Linked DNA regions of Caenorhabditis elegans. The protein of the gene in region 1 purifies or fractionates together with the protein of each later gene. This does not show direct contact. Each region holds a gene or a part of one and is shown on either strand. Other genes may lie near its edges.

Region 1 (7,775 bases):
ATCAATAATGAGTACAATCCTGTAATAAAATTTTCAAAAATTCGTTTTCCCGCTGACATATCAGTAATAAACGGTTTTCGAACGCCTTTTCTCAAAATGTAATTATTGAAGAAAGCGGAATCGAAAGACGACTCCCTCCAGAAATTCACCTTCCTTACTTCCAGTTTAAGCTCTCTCCCGCATGGCCGAGTGGTTAGTGCTTATGTCTGTGGAAATTTTGGTAGTGGGTTCAATTCTACCAACTGACAAACATTTTTGTTTTTTTTGAGTATTCGGGATTCGAATATTATATAGTAATACTCGATTTTATACAAAATATGGGTACGTCTCCCCCCATATAAATCCTCCTCAAACTTCAATCAATCAAAACTCAGCTTTAACTGATTCATCGGGTGCGACTGTTTTTGGTCAAACCGAACTCGAAAATCAAGAAGACATTGACCCACTGAAAATTTCACGAACCCTCTAACAGGTTCGAGGCGAAGCCGAGAACCTACGCCCGGCAGGGGGACTCGCCTTACACCCCCTACAACTGGCGGGCCCGCAGGGCCTGCTAGTCAATTAAAAAAATAGAAAAAAAGGTCAACCAGGTCATAGGCATACTTATTAATTATTATTATTATTAATAGCTTTCTGTTCTATTAAACAATTTAAATTTTAGATTCCAACTCTGCACTAGATGCCCTTCCATTCAGAACCTGGAAAAGTCGGTACCCCTGCACATCAGGTACCTGAAACTTACTGACCATCGTATAATAATAAACGGGTCTACCTATTTATTATCTGTTTTTGACCAAGAATTTGACGTCGAACAATATGATATTCAAGATGCCAGAGAAATGGAGCAAGATCCAAATGAAGTAAGGCTTGACGTGCGAGTTGCTCCAACTAGACTCAGATTCAATGTGAATAACGATCCTGTCAGACGTGAAGGGGAACTTGTAATATGGCTCCTAGATTTGTGGTACCCAAAAGTCTTAAGGCGCTGGATGAGACGTGAAAGAGAGCCCGGAACTCAGTACACGTTTCAGACTGAACAGGAAGAGATAGATCAGGCTATGGTGAATATTAGGAGAGCTTATTGGAGCAGGGTTCAGTGAGTTTTTTTTTTGAAACTTTTTGTTTAAATTTTAAAGTTAATTCTCACTTAGACAAGCAGGAAACAATCGGATCACATTAAACTTGAACGGGACCTCCAAAGTGGTAATCAAGAAGTTTCAAAATGGAAATTCGTGGATTTTGAAAATGAAAGTGGAAAGCCGATGAATAAACTGATATTTTTAATTCTTTTTTTTTGAGTAATGAATATACATATGAAATATACTGGTCTAGATACGAAATTTAGTCAATTTTAGACTAAAAATTCGAATTCCACTGGAAATTTTACCCCGGGAACTTGATCTTTGATTTTTTAAGAGGGGCTTTTGGCTCAACTGGGAAGAGCTAAGAGGAAAAATTGTATGGAGCAATAGGCCAGGGGTTCGATCCCTAACGAGGCATCACATTTTTATTATTTTTTATTATGTTCAAGGGTGATTTTGATGAAATTTTGGTTTCAGCCTAGGAAAATGTTAAGCATTTCAATGTTAGGATCAACTGGTAAGAGGCTAGAATGACCAAGAGAACCCCAATGTAATTCTTTCGACCCGTTGACAATTAGAGCAGATTTGCAGCAGCACAGTGGTGGTCAGCTGGACGTGGTCAAATAACTTGATCAGGTGTCCCTGAACCAGATCTCTAGCTTCAGAATTATCCTGACCTGGCATGCAGAAGCTTTTGATCGAGTATCTTCTGAAAGTGGCTCGACCCTTGCAAAATCTTCTTTTTTGGGATGGAGAGGTTTTAGAAAAGTTGTAAAAAGTACGAATCTTTCTAAACGAAAACTATATCAGACCTGCCAGATGTCTGCCGCTGTGATATTTTTCCAAAAACACAGAAATCCGATAGTTCTCAAGTCACAAGACAAAACAGTTTCATAGGAATTCTTTCATTTTTTCAACGATTAGTTGTTCTCAAAAAAAAGTAGGGAAAAGTCTTCGCCGCTCAATTTTGAAACCCAAAATCCATGCATCTCCCTGCTGTATCTTGCTGATAACCAATTTCGAGGTGCTGTTCTTCTTGATGGTGAGCTGATTGGAACGTCGAGAAGATCTGAAAGTATTCAACTTTAGATTTTTTTTGAAAATATTCAACCTTAGATTAACTTACCCATCTTCCAACATCGCTTTATACCTCTTCCTACTCCTCTCCATAACTACAAATACAGCTCCCCTAGTTGTGTCAAATGTATAATAAGTTCCATTTTCTATATCACTATCACCCATAAAGTATTCTATAACAATTGAAAAGCAGAAGTGTCCCCTTTCGAAATGTGCAGTTGTAACTCTCCGATTTTGCAGGAACGTCAGTACCCGCCTGAGGTTGTGTGGAGCTGTGGTTGGAGCTTTGAAGTGCCATTTTTTAGTTTTTCGGTTTACTATTGATGTAATTGGATTGTTATTAGTCTTCAGAAGGCTTTTAAATGGGAGTTTTATCAAGCTTAATGGTAGACAAGAGTTTGCAATTAGTGAACTAGCAGCCGACAAGCTCCGGGAATCAAAAACCTCCAAAACATTGACATTGATCCTGGCAGCTAACGGAACCCGTAGAGGATTTTCACAAGAAATTGCAAGTTGGCCCACTTTCACAGTTCTTCCTTTAAAGAGTTTGTCGAGAAGGTACTTCATAGTTTTGGTCAGATTATTTCTACTATTCCTTAGTTCGACTGTACCACTGATACTTGGGAATTGATTGATATCAAATTGATAATCAACTTTTCTATCGGTAACTGTAATTTGACAGGTTACCCGGTTAACTGTCACGCTGTTATCTGTTATCTTGAGATAGTGGATGTAGGAAGGGGTTGATTTTTCTAAGGTATGAATTGAAGGGCAGACGAGGCAGAGTTGGATTCTGAAATATACTTATAGTTAGGTAGGTTTAGCTATGTATTAAAAAATTGTGTGGCACTTGAGCAAAAAGCTTGAAACATAATGTGAGCTGTGATTTGGATGAATTTCCTCTATACCCAAAAATTTCAACTCCGAAAACTCCGTCATTCTCAAAACTCAACCCTCTAAATACGTAACTTTTCCAAGCCAAAATACTCACCTCAAACTTGGATCCAAATGCTTCAATATGAACTTCAATACTTGGTAGCTTACTGGTTTTGAATTTAACATAGTGTGCAGGTGTAACGACGAGAATGGCACAGCAAGACCCCACTGAGATTATATCGATTTTATATTGGCTGGAAATTAGGGCGCATTTGCAGCTGGGGTCATTTCGCTGAGCAAAAGGGTGGTACGGTTATTTAGGACAGATGGTGTTTTGTCTAAAAAAACAGGTAGGCAAGATCTAGTCAGAGTTTATAGGGCCTGGGGCCCTATAAACTCTCGGCAGTTATTAAGCTTTCAATTCTAAATTTCACTCTGTTGAACAGTAGACTCGTAAAAAAAAAGTGCTCAGAAAATCTAGTCCATCAGACCGCTCTAATTTTTGCAAATTAGATTTCATAAGAAGAATCTATACATGTTGCTAGTTAAAGGTGGAGTAGCGCCAGTGGGGAAATTGCTTTAAAACATGCCTATGGTACCACAATGATCAAATTCCTATTTGAATTACCGCCAATAGTTCGATGTTCGATGGAGCGCGCTTGCATTATTTTAACTTTTATTTATTAATTTTTCTTATTTTTAATTGATTTTTCATGTTTTTTTTTGAGTAATTTTACTGGAGATTTATCGAAAAATTCAAGATAAATGTAGATTGTTCACTAAAAATAATTGAAAACAGAGATATCACGTTTTTCAACGACGTTGAGCCTGAAATAATCTATTTCAAAGATTTAGATTCGAAATTTTAAATTTAAAATAATGCAAGCGCGCTCCATCGAACATCGAACTATTGGCGGTAATTCAAATAGGAATTTGATGCAATTCGAGATTTTTTCAATTTTCAAAAAATCATATAAAATTTAGAAATTTTTTTTTTAATTTTTACTATGATATTTGGTCATTGTGGTACCATAGGCATGTTTTAAAGCAATTCCCCCACTGGCGCTACTCCACCTTTAACCGTTTTCAGCGAAAAATTGGTCCTGCAAGTTGACGCCTCCCGCAATTCCATAGACCAGCGGGAGACTGCATCGGTGGGAAGACGCAATACGTCACATGGTTGACCCCTCGGTTGGCCAGCACACAGCTCCATATTTTTGAAGTTTTTAGGTACCACCAAATGTTGTATGAATGTTATATTCATGGTGCTTTATCGTTTTTTTCCCCGAAAATGTTGAAGTTCAAATCAAGATGAATAAAACATCGAGGCTTTAATCGGTTTTGCTCTGTACTCAATGGCTTTATTTTCAATCGCTGTTTTTTATGAGCCTGGCACTTATACAATTCTATTGATAATTAATCCTGCACTATCGCTATCACTATGCACAATTTTTTTTTTCAAAAAAAAACAATTACTTTTGTATTGAATTTTCTCTTTTCTCTATAAGTTGCTGCTTACCATTTCCTCTTATTACATAATGTATATAGTTTTTTTTTTCAGAATGCCCTTCAACCTCTTCACCTTTCCACTTGTGATCCGTAGGCAAATTCCTCAGGAAATGAGCTTCATCGACGTGCTTAACTTTTCATTTTGCTCTTCCAAAACTGAAACGTTGGCCAGAAAATCAATAAAAAAAGGATACTCGTCGATGATCCATTCGTGTTCGAATTTATCCGTTGAACGTTCTTACGTCATGCAAATGAAGGACATTAATAATTTAAGTGAACACTTATCGTTTTTAATTAGAGAAGCGTCAAGAGAAGACATTATTCAGCAAGAAAAGTGGTTTAAATTGAAAATTGGACAAACAATGGTTTACTGGTCAGTTCCTTACGTTTTGAAAATATACTAGCCTGATTATCAGCGTTTTTGAGTTCTCTTAAGCGCAGCCGAGCTCAATCAAAATTTTCAAAAACTGTACTTTGAAAAGTTCTGACCGAAAGACTGTAAGTATAGGGTATCCAATATGTCCATATTACACATGTAATACAAAAGTCTTACTGTAAATACAATGCTGGCCAAAAAGATATGCACAAACGGTTTTTCGTTTTTTTTTTTGGCTTTGTTTGAATGGCCATAATTGAAAAACTAAACGTTGTTTTCGAAAACTGTCAACTAACAAAATGCTGGTCATTATGTTGTTCAAATTGTCTGATAAGTATTATTTTACAAAAATTGCCTTGTAAAACAGTACAGCGACAGACATCTGGCTAGTCGATTTTTGACTGAAATCGTCTGTAGCTCAAGAAAAAATCGCTTCCATCTTTAGTAAAAATTATTTCATTAATACAATTATTTTCATGGAAGCAATTTTTATCGAGTTACAGACAATTTCAGATTCAAGGTTAAAAACCGACCCGCCATATGTTTGCCGCTGTAATGTTTTGCAAGGCAGTTTTTGTAAAATAATATTGGTCAGGAAATGTCAACAACATAATGGCCAACATTGTGTTAGTTGCCGGTTTTCGAAAATAATGATTGCTTTTGATTATTCATTTGTTTTTTTGAAGAATCAATAATTTATCATAGTTATGTAGGTCGTTTCACGCCTGAAAACAATACTCTGAAAAGTCCTATCATTTTTATGAAATATGATCCACAACAGTTTGGAATATATAGGCTTAGTTGTATATCATTCACTTCCCGGCGGGTTGAGGACAAAGTTATTATATGCATAGGGCATAAATGTTTATGAAGATCATGTTATTAATTCAATTATTCTCATGGAAGCGATTTTTTCTTGAGTTACAGACGATTTCAGATTCGAGGTCAAAAATCGACCAGCCAGATGTCTGTCGCTGTACCGTTTTTCAGGGCAGTTTTTGTAAAATAATATCGGTCAGGCAATGTCAACAACATAATGACCAACGTTTTGTTAGTTGACCGTTTTCGAAAATAATGATTAGCTTTTAAGTTATGGTTAATTTAACACAGTCCAAAATTCACGAAGCCCCGTTTGTGGCCAGCACAGTAAATAATTTTAATTTTGCATTTCAGCGCAACTCCGTGCCATGAAGCCAGCAGTATAATCAAATTTTATTTCAATGGATCAACCTTAAAAGTAGTTCACGAAATGCTTCGAAACACGATTTTGAACCTCCACCAAACACATCTCAAATCAAATATAATATTTTTTTGGAAGCAAGGAATGAGTCAACAAAAGATTCACCATTTCTCAAATATTCGAAATGTCAACCACATTATTCTAAGTGAAATGGTTAAGCTAGATACAATCCCAATCACCTTTCTAGATCAAATCTTTTCGACATGGCCGAACTTAGGCAGTTTGTCGTTGTATCCACAGATAGATGGTGAACTTAAAGATGAATGTGGTTTGTTCTCAATCAAGAGATTGTTTCTTGGTAGTTCATGTTTAATGGCTGACAGTGTAATCCCTCGATTCAAGGGGCGTCATTTAAGCGCCAAAAATGCATTTATTTCGTCTGAACAAGTTATGCACTGGTTGCACCAATGGACAACGGACATAAATTTTCAAAACATCCAAACAATGACCTTTTCTTTAGCTCCCGGCTACCAATTGAACGTGGAAAACATTTATCAAGAAGTTAATGCAAAACCATGGGATCCTGCCACACGACCCATAGATTATTGCAACGAGTGGGTGATTTGTTGGGGAACTAATCTGTAGACTCGTTTTTTTTCAGAGAAACTCTCGAAAAAATTATCAATTGTGAAGAATGGCTTGATATCTCAAGTAATGGACGACTGATATCAATTTTGGTCAAACCCAAGTCATTTGGACTGGTTCAATGGCAACTTTAAGTTTCTAATTTTTTGTAATCACTTGGTTTACATAGTGAGATGTTGTTTATCGTTAAAATAATCCAGATAAATTTACAGTACATTCCAAAAGAAGTAAAATAATAGTATTTGCAAATTTTTGTTAATTAAATGTCATTCCCGAAGCGTTCAGCCAGCAACGCTTTCACTCGCTCGTCGGCTTCCTCAGCCTCTTGATCGCCCTGAAAATTAGACGGTTCGAGAAAGAATGGCTATGTAAGCTCACCTCGGCAATATTCTCGTAAACCTGAATTATCAACTGAAGAATCGCTGCATCACGAGTCAATAATACTCCTTTGAGTCTGTTAATCAATAACTTGACCTCCATCGAAATGCGTGGATGGGCAAGAAGTTGGAAGAAAGGTGTAGCCAAGTCGCAAACTGAAAAAAAAAATTGATTGAAGCTCGGATTTTCGCTATCTTATAACTTCTATCGATTTTTACTCACTTATGAGTGAGTTTTAGAAAACGAAATAAAATTTATCGTAAGAATACAACATCAATTTTTTTTCAGATCAATTAGAAAAAAAAACATACTTTCGTGGAGCCCGCGGGAGTCCATGGTGTACAGGTCGACTAACGATGCCATTGAATCAATGACCTGAAAGAAATGCTTATTATATTTAAAATACCGTATTTTCTCTATTAGTCTTGCATGCAAGACTAATTGTGCAAGACTAATAAAGACTGCAAGACTATCAGGAGCTGCAAGACTAACGTTCGATAATCCAACAACTTTTTAAATTGACAATTTCTCGTCAAAAACTTGACTTGAAACAGTCTATCACACAAAATACATACTTTTTTTTATTATTTTATCAATTGCTTGAACACCTTAAAATTTAATTCAGCCGAAAAATGACAAATTTGTTTAAGGT
Region 2 (6,959 bases), on another chromosome or scaffold:
GTTAATTTGAGTTAGTTACGCAATAAGGATTACGTTTGAAAAACGATTTGGTGCTCGCCGGCTTATCTTTTAGCGAGATTATTATTTTCTGCAAAATACAAGTGATTCTCTTAGAGTCTTCATTACAGAAATGTATGTCCTTCTTGAGAAGTCTAGAAATTGTGGTACAACGCTTTTGTAAATTTTCCTGGCTTGCTCCATAGTAAAAAATATTTTTTGACAAATTTTGTAGAAAACTAATTTATAACTCAAACTAAAAGTGTTTTTTTTAAATAATAGTTGAGGTACGTTGAAAATAGTACGGAAAAATTATATGTTGAAACTGCAACTGTATGGACAAGCCATGCATAGCAATTAAAGTCGAAATATTTTGGAAAGGGAGATATACGATCGCAAAATATTAAAAAATTCCTCAAATGCTCTGAAAAAATAAAGTTCCAAAGGAGTGTTTTTAAACATCTCAAAGAGTCAAACTTTTCAGTTAGAAGAAATTATGAATCTTGCAAAATAGGCATATTACTAAAATATTTACAAGAATTTTATCACCTCTTGGTGAAAGTTCAAAAATATTAGTTTTTCCAATTTGAAAAAGTTCCCTCTATATGCAGAATCCAGCAAAAACGTTAAGCTTATAAACGTTACCAGTGAAATTGATTCCAAGAACAATTATGACTAAATTCAATAGATAAATTAATATAAATAAGTATTAAGGTATTTTGAAAACAACTGAACACGACCTCTAGTCTGCGGTTTCGAGCAAAGTATCAAATTAAGAAACCTTTGTGAAAAGTAGATGCAAACGATAATATTAGTAGGAAACTATAGAAAAAGAAGAAGAAGCCGAAAGTGTCATTCAAGTAGAAACAAAATAAACATAGAATTTAGACCACCAGAACACATCGAAAAGAGAGCAACTCAAAACTTTCGAATGGCTTGTTTTATTTTCGAAAGAAGAAAAAGAAGAAGTTGCAGAATAAGAAGTAGAATCTCCATGAAAACATTCATCATCTACGACTATACGAGGGCAAGCTTGACCCAACAATACAAGGGACAATGAACCCCCGAGAGTTCTCGGCCTAAAACAAATTCCGTTTTTTTTTTCTGCAAGAGCTGGTAGTTCCTATGCCGACCAACAAATCTGCGTCTCTTTAGAAACGGCGGCCATCGGCGATTAACACAAAAATGAGCGCGAAACGGGTGAGAGTGGAATTTGCATAGGAAAGTGTCTGCCCATTATAAGATATCCGGAACAAGTTTGAGGGGAAGAAATTCGAATGCAATCAAGTTTCCACGACCTCTTCCGAAAACGAACGAATTATTATATTGCCATTCGGTTTTGTATGGAAATAAATGACAGATGACTGGAAATAAATGGACAGGTGGCAGTAGTTGTAGTAGTAGTACTAAACGGATGAAAATTGGAAGAGGAAAAAATGAAGAAGGAGAAGGAAAGAAGGCGAAGGACGCTTTCGACAACTGAACCCCATGGGAAAATAATGCGTTTTAGGATTTTTGACACAATTTTGCCTTTTTACTAGCTTCACTCATGGAACATTTAGAATCTGTAAGCAAACATGCCAAACTTGTTATTCAAAACACAAAATAAATTATAAAAGAGGCATGAAAAATTCAGTTGGTAATTCCAGAAATGGTGTGGTGGTAGCTGATAAAAGAAGGCATTCATTTTCAGAACATTCATAATTGTGTTAGAAATAAAACTTTTAAAAACGTGATGTTTTTCAAGACGGAAAAAATTTTTCGACACGAAGTTTTTAATCGTTTTCATGCACAAGTTTCACTTCGAATAATGTCAATACTCCACGGCTTCGGAGCAGGTGTGTGGCAATAAAGAATGTACTTCAATCAGTAATTTTTGAATCAATACAATTTCAAAATTTTATTCAACTATTTACAATACATCACTTGAGTGCCTAGTTTTAATTAATACAATCCGTTGTTTGTCCAGTGTATTGATTGGCCAAATTCAATGTTCCAATATCATAAGTTTTGCTTGGAGTCTTTCCAGATGAAACATAATTATCTGGAATAGTGATTCCAATCTTTTTGTAGCAGAGACCATTGTAATTGCATTTGTGATAAATGTTCAATTTTGGATCAATAGTTGAAATTTCAGTTTTTGATCCAGATAGTCGGAATTGTCCATTGGCATCTGAAGTTGCTTCTTCCAAAAGTACATCAAAGGCTGGAAAAAATTTTAATCAGAAACTAAGTTTCAGATTCATAACTTACTTGATTCTTTTTCATAAAGCTTCAGTTTAACTCCAGATGCTGGTTGTCCATTACAGATAACTCTTCCAGATACAGCAACTGACTGTGTTCGGCCAACACCCAATAGAGCATAACTTGTAGAAACAAGAGCAAATAGCAAAAATAAAGTAGTCGGGGAAGAGCACATTTTTAAATTTGAACTGAAATTTTGTCGTCTCAACAGTTATTTATATGGTAGAAACGGTAGGTGTTTGCTGAAGAAAGGAATGAAAAAAGAAAGAGACATTGCTATTTACACAATTACTATTGGCACACAGTACGAAAAACCATTTATTTTCAAATGTTAAATACTCAAATACAATTAAAGTTTTCGGTGGTTTGTCGCTGAACTATATCGGTTCCTTATTTACTTCTTAGTTTAAACAGTCTGTAGATTGGCCTGGGAAGTTGTTGGCCAAGTTCAATGTGCCAATGTCAAAAGTTCGTGATGGTTGACTACCGGAAGTGACGTAGTCCTTTGGAATGTGAATTGTGAATTTTTGATCACATAGCTAAAAACAAAATTACCAAAATATAAAACAGTGATTCTGAAATGTCAATAAATAATTTACCCCGTTGTAATTGCATTTGTGATAAACATTTAGCTTTGGGTCAATAGTTGTGATTTCTCTTTTCGATCCTAACACTCGAAATTGACCGTTCGAATCAGTACGCCCCTCCTCCATCAATCGATCGAAAACTTGAAAAAAAATTTTAAATCAAGCAATCAAAATATAATTGTTATGCCATAGTGGTAGTGGATAGTAGTTTGAAGCAAGATAATCTATGATATTGACCGATTTTCTGATAAAAATGGAGATTCATCAGTCGGTTGTGTTAGAGCATTAAAAACGTATCCTTCATAGAATTTCAAGAACTGTTTTTTTAATTTTTATTGAGAAAGTTGCCCTTGCTATTAGAGTCACTTGTGATTTTGAGAGATTATTTCTAAGACTCCAAACAACTGGATTTTTTTTTCGAATTACAATATAAAAAACATTTGTATGTATAGAAAAAAAATTGTAGAAAATGATTGAAAAGCGACTTACATATTTCGTTTTCATACAATTTAAGCTTCACATCAACCGCAGGTCTCCCGTTACAAATCAATCTTCCTGATACAGCAGCTGATTGCATACTTCCAATTCCTAATACATCCTTTGTAGCAATTGGATCGTTTTGTCCAAGAACGAAAACGCATAACAGAGAAAAAACTAACATATTTATGAACATTTTTCAATCCAAACTACGCTTTTCTCTCATATGTCAGGACTATTTAAACTTTTTTGTTTCACATTTTTGAAATGGCAAACATTGTTGCCCATACATGTGTTAAGTGATTTTTGTTTGAGAGAAGATTTTTCTGTGTTTAGAGACACTTCTCGAGCTCTCGTACTTTTGGTCTTTTGGTGGTTTTTGTTGATGAGTGAGCAACACATGGTAATAACAAAATGGTAGCTAAGTCAACATAAATTTCACAAATCTCATGTTGAGTCATAAAACACTTACAGACATTTCTTGAACAATTTTCAAAGATAATTCACCTTCGCACTGTGTTTTCTGCTTTGTGAGCACGCAGGTTTACACGCAGGTTAAAAAATCGATTTTTTTTATTCACAGACTTCAAAAAAGTGTATTACTAGTCAGAGGAAACACGAAGTATTATAAGAACTTTATCATACAAATTTTGCCAACCGATAGTTGCAGGTTGACAAAAAATTCAGCTTGCAGAAACCGGCAACTTGTGAACCAGTGGTGATGTCAACATCAAATACATATATTATTTGTTTTGAAAAAAGCATTCGAACATCATGGAAATTGCAAACAACTCACTGTAAATAAAAAAGTGAATAAATTTTCCTTAAAATACTCTGAAACACAGGTACTAGAAAATTAATGTTAGGCAATTGGCAAAAGAACGACAAAGTCCGGAAAAGTTACCGAAATATTTAGACAACCGACAGTTTCGTGTGAATGAAACTTTTCAGCACCTTCGGCGATAATGGCCAGTTGCTTAAACTTTTGGTTGCCGCATAGCCCAGCTATGGTAACTTTGAGTAGCCCAAAAAATTGAGCCACAATCAATATTACAATTTTTTGAATTATCTTACAGAATAACTGTTGTCTGACAAGAAACGCAGCGGCTGAAAAAGTCAATAATACTTACTATTAAATTCAATTATTCTACAAGACCTGCTCATGAATAGTTTATTTGAAAATATGTGTAATTAAAAGTAACCAAATCAATCAATTAATACAATCGGTAGATTCTCCTGGATATTTGTTTGCCAAGTTTAGTGTTCCTATATCGTATGTTCGTTCTGCTTGACTACCACGGTTGATATAATCCTTTGGAATTTTTATAGTGAATTTTTTGGAGCACAACTGAAAATTCACATTTAATTTAAAAAATTGACAAACACACAAATCTAACCCCATTATAATTGCATTTGTGATAAACGTTGACTTTTGGGTCAATCCTTGAAATTTCTCGTTTTGAGCCAGAAACTCTGAATTGTCCATTTGAATCTGTACGGCTTTCTTCCATGAGTCGATCAAACACTCAAATGTAATATTTTTTCGGAAGGCAATTTCATAGTAGAACTTACGAATCTCATTTTCATACAGTTTGATCTTAATATTTGTAGCTGGTCGTCCATTACAGATTAGTCTTCCAGAAACAGCTACAGCCTGCATTCTTCCGATGCCGAGAAAGTTTTTGGTAACAATTTCATTGTCTTCTTGGCAAAAGACCAATGTCAAGGCGACAAGAAGGGAAGCTAACCTTATGACCATGACGTGTTAAACTATGATTTTCACATGTTCATTTTGACTTAAATACGGTTTTGTCTTTGCTTTCACATGTGCAGTTAAGTCAATATTGGGCGGAGGTTACCTACAAAGTTAATACGATTTTTCTTTGTTTGTTTGAAAAGAAAATTGTTGTTGTTCATCACAGTTTCTCACTTTTTGGTCTCTATTTGATATGAGGGATGAACAATAATAATCCACATTACACAGAATAGATAAACGAATTTGAAAATAAAATCGAAAAGCAGAACTCCAATTTCAAAAAATGGAGTGTTTGAATGGATTTGCACAAAAATCGACTTGGCGACAATTTCTTCGGCCAAAAACCTCTGGAACGAATCAAATCTGCTCGCTGTAGTATGACGGGAACGCTAAATTTTGAGATTTGCGTTTTGGGCAACATAATTGACGCGCGAAATATCTCGTAGTGAAAACTACAGAAACTCTTTACTAGGTTACTGTAGCGCTTATGTCTAATTACGGACATCGTTTATTTATCGATAAAATATCGAAAGAAAGCATAAAGTATACGAAAAAACTAAAGAAAATTAAATATCGTTGCCACAATTCGAGCAGAAAATTGTTTCGAAAATCGAGCCCGTAAATCGACACCAGCGCTACAGTAGTTCTTCATAAAATTACTGTGGTTTTCGCTACGAGATATTTTGCGCGTCAAATATACTGCGCAAAACGCTTTTCTCGTAATTGTGTGTTCCAGTAATGGAATAATTCTTCCAGCTACTGTTTTAAAATCTTTCTGTCATTAAGATTTCAACTTCCTACAATTAAAAACAACTATTCAAAGTTATTGCTGATTGTGAGAGCATTTGACGTTCCCCCATCTAAATCAATCATCAGAGCAATCTCGACCGCTTCTCGTGTCACTTACCCAAAGAAAAGCCGCGCGAGAAGAAATGTGACCTTTCGATTATTACACAGTAATCGTCGTAGCTCTCTTCCGTCGTTCCACATCTCGTACAAAAAATAAACTTTGAGGAAAGAAAAAAAGAATTATGAATTCTTCCTTTCACTTCAAAATGGATGTACTTCAGGACTTTTTTGATGAATTGTTGATAGCTAAAAATGGGTCGTTGAATGTGCACTTTTCGAAATGAGAAGACATCTGTCGTTGGTTCATGTTGAAATTGCAGCTGTATTCAGTTGTCTTTGGTACCATCAAGAATTCTGTTTCACCACCTGTTTTGAATTGAAATGATGTAAGGAAAAGGGTCATTTGGGTTCAATTCTTCTGTTTTATAGCTCCTTGTTTGATTGAAATAGATGATAAACATTTTATGTATCCATTTTTCTCTATTGAATAGAATTTTTTTCATATATATTCAAAAGTTTTCAGTCTAACTATAAGTTTAGGTAAATTGCCAGATTTTTGAGAAAAATCAGAGAATTGCCGCAGATGCTAGCCCGCTGGAATGTTTAAAATACAAACGAAATTGAAATATAAACTTGTATTAAAACATTTTTTGGTAGACTTCCAAAATTATGATAGGTGAAAAAAGTTCAGTTTTCACAACTTTTTTGACTGTAATTATAAAATTTCAAATTATTTTTTTGAGGTATCATTACCCAGATATTTTCCTTTTAAATTCTCACTGATAGGAGTGAGTGGAACAGATTATAACAACAACCCAACAAAGGATAGGCCACTTTGAAGAATATGTATCCAGTTGTTGTACATTGATTTTTTGCTAATTAACAGTACCTTAATATCAAAAAAATTTACAAAAAGTTTCCGCAGATTGAAAAATTCAGATCAATTTGCAAAGAAAAATCCATTTTAGAAGTTAGAAGTATGTGCAGTTTGATTCTGAACAGTTTTATTACACATTTTTCTTGTTTGGAAAATGTTTTTTTAATTTTAA

The links. The genes of interacting proteins can lie anywhere in the genome.
Region 2: the proteins of fbxc-14 (region 1) and ttr-27 fractionate together in Caenorhabditis elegans (co-fractionation; one large-scale study listed by BioGRID). This does not show direct contact.

What each region holds. Positions count from the first base shown.
Region 1 is NC_003280.10:969,749-977,523, reverse strand, and holds fbxc-14 (F-box domain-containing protein), read right to left. Parts: upstream 3,226-7,775; 5' UTR 3,222-3,225; coding exon 3,151-3,221; intron 2,953-3,150; coding exon 2,209-2,952; intron 2,152-2,208; coding exon 2,013-2,151; 3' UTR 1,979-2,012; downstream 1-1,978. Other genes in the region: fbxc-17 (F-box C protein), read left to right, coding at 662-1,096, 1,152-1,266; C32B5.15 (F-box domain-containing protein), read left to right, coding at 4,574-4,917, 6,094-6,714, 6,762-6,879; C32B5.6 (Resolvase/invertase-type recombinase catalytic domain-containing protein), read right to left, coding at 7,005-7,079, 7,124-7,278, 7,435-7,498.
Region 2 is NC_003283.11:12,901,668-12,908,626, forward strand, and holds ttr-27 (Transthyretin-like family protein), read right to left. Parts: upstream 2,432-6,959; 5' UTR 2,417-2,431; coding exon 2,251-2,416; intron 2,204-2,250; coding exon 1,938-2,203; 3' UTR 1,883-1,937; downstream 1-1,882. Other genes in the region: ttr-28 (Transthyretin-like family protein), read right to left, coding at 2,643-2,780, 2,841-2,968, 3,318-3,501; ttr-29 (Transthyretin-like family protein), read right to left, coding at 4,516-4,653, 4,703-4,830, 4,878-5,064.